2 linked regions of the Bombyx mori genome follow. The main gene of each other region encodes a partner of the protein of the gene in region 2 in a complex. Links are inferred from orthologs where the notes say so. Each region holds a gene or a part of one and is shown on either strand. Other genes may lie near its edges.

Region 1 (4,446 bases), on a different chromosome or scaffold from region 2:
AAAAGCTATCTTAAAATATTTATAAGGTGATTTAGTCCGATGAGGATTATAGTTTTATAGTGTTAGTTGATGTATAAAATAATATGTGCGTATTGTGTTGCTTTTGTTTTTTGTAATTTAAATTTCTAAGCTTCTCTTCTCTGTTCACTTTCTACTTATATGTGATTTTGATTGTGGGAACATATTTGATTATTGTATTAGCTATATTTTTTTAAATATTATATGTTTGTATTGTACTGTTTGTTTCCCAAATAAATAAATAAATAAATTGGGAAATTGTAAAAAGTAGGAGTTAAAATAAAATCACTACATAGTATAAAACAAAGTCACTTTCTATAGGAATATCTGTCTGTCCCTATGTATGCTTAAATCTTTAAAACTACGCAACGGATTTTGATGCGGTTTTTTTAATAGATAGAGTGATTGAAGAAGAAGGTTTATATGTATAATAACATCCATTAAATAGTGGAGAAATCAATAATAAATTACAGTTTCCGAAGCGAAGCGAGGGCGGGTCGCTAGTTAAACAATAAAAGTGTATATTTAAATTACATCTGCGGCTCGCGCTAATCTTATAGGATTCTTATAGTCATAAGGCCCATAGAGATTACAGTGTGCATATGTTGGTAGGCAGCGGCTTCGGTCTGTCCCTGACATTGCTGATGTCCATGAGTGACGGCAATTTAAATAAAAACACCATGAGACATGAGGTCGTAGTGTGAATTGCATTGTACAACCGGAACGCATGACAGCTTAGTGGCGCAAATAGGTAAAATGGTGATACCTACCCGTGCGGACTCACTGCCGTCAGTAATTAAGTATTGTGTAATTTCTCATAGTAGAAATTTTGTTTAGAAAAATTGGTACCTGCCTTCGGGATTTCATAGGCGCATCGGTCTATTTATACGAATAGACCAGACATCTTACCTTTTTAGCCACGATTTATAAAAGTATATTGTAAGATGAATTAATATTTGAAAAACGTAAAGAAATCGTTATAATTATCACTAATTTACAACCTGCCATTGAGTTCTTACTCATCAGTTATAGGAAATAATCATTAAATAAAACGATACTTAATATGTTTCATTGTGACCAGCTATACAACTCGTCATTAAAAACTAGTTTTATTAAATGAATAATAAAGCTTAGCTCGCCGGTGTCCAAGGACTGTAGCAACCATTTACTTTTTTTTTATTCCTACCTAAGCTGATGGTCTAGAGTACTCTAGAGAGAATATGTCAGCGTCGCCGGGCTATTAGGTAAGCTCACAGAGCTCAAACCTGAATATGTTGCTAACACGAACCCTAGCAAGGGCCGTGCCTCGCAGAATTTACCACCGGATCGGAAACGCGACCCACTGAGAAGATCCGGCGAGAGACTCAGTGGGCTGTCTATGGGTTAATTTACTCGCCAAGCCCTTCGTCGCAAGCGACGGGTTCGACGAGAACGATGACCGGTGCTTGAGGTACCTAAAAGCACCGTTAGTGATTCGGGAGGATCCGAGATGACTTGTTTTGGGCGACGTCGGCGTCCATTTACCATGCGCATTATATGCCCGTCGACGGGAATAAAAAAACACATGGTATATATTTTGATTTTCATTAAAACTTTTTATTCATCCGAAATCGAGATAGTTCGCTTCGTATTGCAACATTCACACAACGCAATCCTTAAATGTAGCAACGCTAATACTAAATCAGAGAAACATGACATTTATACAAGAGTGTATAGAACTGAGATTCCTATAACTCATTGTTAGCAGTTACAGTCTCGATTTCTTACTTGCAAGCTTAAACATAAAGGTGTAAAACAGCGCATGTTACCGAAATTATAACGTTATATTTCTATAATAGTACCGTTAACATCGCCAAAACAACATTTAGATATATTAAAGTATTTTTCTTTGCATGTTATTTTAAGTTAATCAAAACTAAATAAACACGGCATTTCTTAAATATTTTTCTGCTTATGGTATAACAACATTAAGAATAATATTTTTGTGTAATAAATAACTAATAATTGTAACTATACTGAGACCTTAGAACTCACATCACAAGGTAAGGCATTTACGTTGTAGCTGTCTATGAGCTCGTCCACCCATTTAAGCAATAAAAAATAGATTAAAAAAAAGTTTGAACACAAATAACTCACCTCGACTTTTTTGGAGTACTCCTCAGCGATCCTTTCTTGTTCCTTCTTTAGCTCTTCGTTTTTCTCTAGCAAAGCCTTCCCCAGTTCCGCAGCAAGCAGAAGGTCAGATTCCTTCTGCTGTAGTTGAGTCCACACGTCTTGCTCGGTGTTCGCGTCCATATTCGCGCTTGTATCTCTAACCGCCGACATTTCTCTGACGTATTCCTCTAGTTCTTCATAGAAGTTCTCATCAGACAAGCTGAGAGCTATAGGGGTCTTTCTGTTGCCACTTCTGCTTCTGCTTCTTCGGTGTTTCTTTATTGGGGTCGAATTTCTTATATCACCTTTACCGATAAACTCAGTGGCATCGGTTATGAAATTTGGGGACTGGTCACGATCGGGCGGTTCTATTTCGGAATTTCTACTTCTACTGATATTATAAGCACTAAACTCACCGGCCATTTAACATGAAACAAAAACGTTAACAAACCGAATTAACTCTGCGCGATTTTAGTGTAGTTACTCTTCTTGAATATTTTTTCGAACGCCTGTTGGACTTTCACGTTTTTTGGGATTTTGATTTTGAATATGTTCTTCGGTAGATCGAAATCCTTTTTTAATGCCATTTTAATGTTACGGTAACATTTTCACAACACTGACACAGCACAGCACAGCGCGGAGCACGTATCGCGGTTAATATTGTTATGTCAATAAACGCGCGGCGCGAACCACAGCGCCGATGTTGCCTCGACAACGGATCGGTCACAACAACGCTGTATGAAACCTCCCGAGCCGGAACGCGTTGCGATGCTCAAAGATTAAGCAACGATAAGAGACGAAAAAAAAATATCTTTTTTTTATTTTTATTACTTTTTTCTTCCTATCTAAGGCTAGGTAGCCTTGAGAGGCTATGTCTGCGTAGCCTAACAAGTTTTTTTTTTGTTAATACACAAAAAAAATTGGGGCAATAATTAATAATGTTCCCCGACCGCTGGTCTAGAGAGACCATGTCAGCGTCGCCGGGCTAATAGGATAGCTCACGGTTCTCAAACCTGACGATGTTGCTAACGCTAGCCCTAGCAAGAGCAGTGCTTCGCAGAATCTACCACTTAATCGGAAATGCGACCCACTGAGAAGATCCGGCGAGAAACTCAGTGGGCTGTGGTTTGTGGGTTAGAACTCACTTTATTACACCTATCCGTTCTACGACCATGAATGATGTCCTTAATAAGTATTGCTTAAGTTTACAAAAGAAACTACTACTGAAGTTAAGTAGTGTAATTGTTTAATTGTAGCTTGTGAATAAAATTATTTCCTTACATTAAAAGTTAGATTAGTTTTTATTATCGTGTTGTTTTGTCGTATAGATGTAAGGACCACTATGTACAAACTCAGCACTTTGTCTTGCGTAGTCGTGCGCACATGGCTTATGTTGTAAGCCAGATTTTGTTTCTTTTTACTTGTGTTTTTATGTATCTTTTTAGCTTGTGATGTGTATTGTGTGTTTAATAAATAAAATAAAATAAAATAAAATAATTGTTAGTATAGTATCAGAGAAAAGAATCCATAAAGAAACATTCTATTTCGTAGCCCGATATTTTAAAAATGTAACATAAAATAACATAACTTTTTTATCAACTCATAGACATAGATGGTGTTACATATTAATTAAGCAAATTGCTGAAAATTTCCAAAAATACGTACCAATTTAACATCACTTTACACTCAGAATTGATTTTTTTCATATTAAGCTTTATCACCAAAACTGGTCTGTCATTATTATCTAATCTTTGCCTTAATTCACCAGGTGCAACGGAGACAAACAATCAGGTGATTCAAAAACCTTAGTGCTAGACAAGGACAATAAATATCAAGGTAATATGGAGAGAGGATTAAAATTGAACAAATTTTAAAACTTTTTTATTAATGCTGACTAAGTCGGGAAATGATCTCATAATACCAAAAGAGGCTATTATTATGGTTATTGTACGAATCGATGTTTTTCAAAGCGTATTTTTTCTTTTTCTTTTTTTTTATTGCTTAGATGGTTGGACGAGCTCACAGCCCACCTGGTGTTAAGTGGTCACTGGAGCCCATACACATCCACAACGTAAATGCGCCACCCACCTTGAGATATAAGTTCTAAGGTCACGCCACCCCGAGGACGCCCGACTGACGGGTCGTCGAGGCGATAGTCGACGACCAACGACGTCAGTCTCCGCGGTACGGCGGCCCTACCAGGCCGCCCGGGCGGTGCCGCTGGTGTTCCGGGATACCCCGCTGGGCCAGAACCAGCCTGCCGGGTCGGAACGC
Region 2 (3,823 bases):
TGATTCTTTTTCTTTAGAAATTTCACATTTGGACGTAACGGGGGGCCGCGTCCGTCCGGCGCGCGGGGAGACCGCGGACCACAACGGCGCCAATAAATATTCGCTTAACAAAATACACCGGTCCTGTTACAAAAATAATCGATTCGCGTCGACGCGCGATATCGAGTGAAGAAATCGATACGAAAATATGTCCCGAGGAAAGGGAAGGGGTAGGCCGGGCGCGGCCCCGGGCTGGGGACCGCCGCGCCCGCGTCCGGCAGCCCGCCGCAATTTGACCGTTCCAGCGGCGCCGGACGAGGCCCGGACCGGCGCCGCGACGGGGGCCGGACGTGCGGCGCGATTCACATTACATTAAAAAGTTTACAAAACGTACAAATAGGGGACCGGGCCGGTGAGGCTGGAGCCCTAGGTCCGCAGCAGACGGCGCAGCAGGACGGCGACGGCCTTGACCGGCGCCAGCAGTCGCTAGAAGTCCCTCCCCCTGCCGCCCCGCACCCCGCCCGCCTTGGGCACGCGCCGGGAGCGCATCTCGCGGTCCACCTGCGACACACGTCACTGTCAGATGACGTCACAGCGGACCGGTGACGCAGCAATCCACAAATATGTCTAGTTCCTCTTACGTGACGCGGCATTCGCGAACATATCGAGTCTGATCACATGTTTTTTTTATTGCTTAGATGGGTAGACGAGCTCACAGCCCACCTGGTGTTAAGTGGTTAAGTTAAGGCTGCCCCACGCTTCAAACCGAAATGCATTACTGCTTCACGGCAGAAATAGGCAGGGCGGTGGTACCTACCCGCGCGGACTCACAAAATGTCCTACCACCAGTCCTAAATCAGGTTACCTACATCTGAGGTTAGACGGTTGTGTCCGACGCGGCGTGTGTTGCTCGTATGATGGACATGATCTCAAACACCCTTGAACATCCGACCCTTTGGCTCGATGTCGACGGATTATTATATTTAGTTAGTTAACCCTTTCAAATATTTTTGTAGGGAATTTCTACTTGAGCAACAAAGTGCGGAGGCAGGGATTTTGTAGATTATGCCACATGTTTAAATTTAGGTATTATTAGATTATTTTTTATAGATTAGTCTATATTATTTTAGTTTTATTAGTTTAGTTTATTATTTTATAGATTAAAATTACAGGCAGCGGCAGAATAGCAGCGATAGTTTCAGCTACCACAAAGCTGGGCCGCGGCCTTTTTATCTCCACTGTCAGTATAATTAATTGTAATATTGTTTAGATATAATTAGAAATTTAGGTCATATATTTTTTTTTGTTGCCTTTGTAGGCAGACAAGCGTACGCCCCACCTGATGGTAAGTGGTTACCGTCGCCCATGGACTTCAGCAAAGCCAGGAGCAGAGCCAAGCCGCTGCCTACTGCTTAATACTCTCCACAAGCCTCGTTTGAAGAAGGACATGTCAATTGGAAAGTTATTTGTATTGTGGAGTAAATTAATATTATTATTATATTTAGTTAGTAGGACCATTACCTCCAGCTCCTCGAGCCGTTGCGTGAGCGCCAGCTTCTGCTGCACGGCGAGGCGCAGCAGCTGGTTGAGGGTCTTCTTCTCATCCTCGGCCCCGGAGAGCGCCTGCGTCAGCTCGTCCACCTGCGTCACGTACTCCTCGCAGCGCGCCGCGAACATGGCACGCAAGCCTGGAACGGACGCTCACACATCTAGCTATTTTATTTCACACTAGCCGACCCGGCAGACTTCGTAGTGCCTCAATCGATAAATAAAAGACCTAAGCTTTTGTATAACATAAACTTAAAACAAAAGGAATCCGTCCGACGGAGGACACATCAGAGGAAAAACAAAATTGTTATTTTTATTTAATTCAGAGCATTTTCATTTTTATCTACCTTCCTACCTTCTCTGGACTTCCACAAATAATTGAAAACCAAAATTAGCCAAATCGGTCCAGCCGTTCTCGTGTTTTAGCGAGACTAACGAACAGCAATTCGTTTTTATATATAGATAGAAGAAGATGAGTGAACGAGCTCATAGCCCAACTAATGTTGACTTTGAGACACCACCTTGAAACATTTTCAACGGTAGGCAGTGGCTTGGCTCTGCCCCTGGCATTGCTGAAGTCCACGGGCGACAGTAACCACTCACCATCAGGTGGGCCGTATGCTCGTCTGCCTTCTTCTTCTTAGTTTGGTTTCCTCAATACTGAGGGTCGTGACCACCCCCTCGCAACAAGAGTTTATTCCGGATCATTCCACGCCATTTCCCTCTATCTGCCGCCGAGTGTAGAGCATCGTGAACTGTGGTATCGAGGGTAGTGCGGATCTGGTCAGTCCAACGTGTCGGGCCTCTAAGTATTTAGTGATCGCCTACAACGGCAAAAAAAAAAAAGCCAGTACTGACTCGAGAACGTAGCGGCGTCCTCCTTGAGCAGGCGCAGCTCGTTCCTGAGCTTGAGCATGGTCTCCGTGACGATCGTCTTCTCCGTCTCGTACTTGGACTTGAGGTTCGCGAGCGCCACCTCGGCCGTGTTCTTGTTGGACTTGAGCACGGTGCGCAGCGTCGCGATCTGCTCGCGCTTGGTCGACAGAAGGGACTTCAGCTTGATGACCTGCTCCTGGAGCTCGGCCAGCTCGGCGCCGCGCTCCTCCGTGGTCTCCATCACTGCGAGCACATTAAACTCTCGATGAGGTCGAGAAAACGACTACTAAGTGCTGGTATATTAGAATTCTGCAAAACAATGTCAAATTGAATTACACTATTATTATTTTTTGGCTTAAATGGGTGGACCAGCTCACAGCCCACCTGGTGTTAAGTGGTTACTGGAGCCAATAGACATCTACAACGTAAATGCGCCACCCACCTTGAGATATAAGTTCTAAGGTCTCAATATAGTTACAACGGCTGCCCCACCCTTCAAACCGAAACGCATTGTTGCTTCACGGCAGAAATAGGCGGGGCGGTGGTACCTACCCGCGCAGACTCACAAGAGGTCCTACCACCAGTAAATCACCAGTTCAATAAGGGGAACTGGCTGGCGACTCGGCCCGGACTGCTGTGGACTACACCTGGCGTGTGCATTGCGACGCGAGGCACTGCACACTTTGCGACGACAGAGATAAAGAATGGGCAGTAGGTGCTCATTTTTCAGATCAAAATCTACAAGGTTCTACGACTGAATGAACGAATGAAGAATGAACATGAGTGAATGAAGGGCAGTGTGAAGAACAAGTTAAGGGGTTGCGGGACATGACTGCCGGGGCCCGCACGCAGTTAACGACACACAGACACGTATTATCTTTGGTTACTAGTGAGGGCGTGGAGATATAATCTTCAAAACCCAACAATGACGAGTGGGTGAAATGAACCTTATTAAAATTCTTCAAATAATAATAAATACCTAGGAACAAAACACCCACATTGGTACCCGCCTGCGGGATTCGAACACCGTTACATCGCTTCAACACGAATGCACCGGACGTCTTATCCTTTAGGCCACGACGACTTCTAAATTAGTCGACGACGTTAGATAATAAGCACCCAGATAATGAGCAAACAAATTTGCTCTTCACACGAACGTTTTCCCGGTGCGGGAATCGAACCCACGTCCTTCGACGCGACAGTCAAGGCCGTTAACTATTGCACCAACGAGTCAGTCTTATTTTCTTTATCGATAATTCTACTACACAATCACTACAGCTGTAAACTGTCCACTAACTAACTAGAACATTGCTTAGATGCAACCCAATTTATCTTAAATAATAGTTTAAGAAAACTAACAAAGCACGCTTTTATAGAAAATCCAACTAAAAAATAGAAAATAAATTTTAATAAATTTGAA

Evidence for each region.
Region 1: protein bicaudal D (region 2) and bicaudal D-related protein homolog share a complex: the UniProt entries of both Homo sapiens proteins name them as parts of the tripartite complex. The link is inferred for Bombyx mori from reciprocal best matches to the Homo sapiens genes BICD2 and BICDL1.

What each region holds. Positions count from the first base shown.
Region 1 is NC_085122.1:13,073,540-13,077,985, forward strand, and holds the start of bicaudal D-related protein homolog, read right to left. Parts: upstream 2,945-4,446; 5' UTR 2,596-2,944; coding exon 2,155-2,595; intron 1-2,154. UniProt on the Homo sapiens protein: Acts as an adapter protein linking the dynein motor complex to various cargos and converts dynein from a non-processive to a highly processive motor in the presence of dynactin.
Region 2 is NC_085125.1:2,137,587-2,141,409, reverse strand, and holds part of protein bicaudal D, read right to left. Parts: intron 2,647-3,823; coding exon 2,386-2,646; intron 1,668-2,385; coding exon 1,501-1,667; intron 541-1,500; coding exon 466-540; 3' UTR 1-465. UniProt on the Homo sapiens protein: Acts as an adapter protein linking the dynein motor complex to various cargos and converts dynein from a non-processive to a highly processive motor in the presence of dynactin.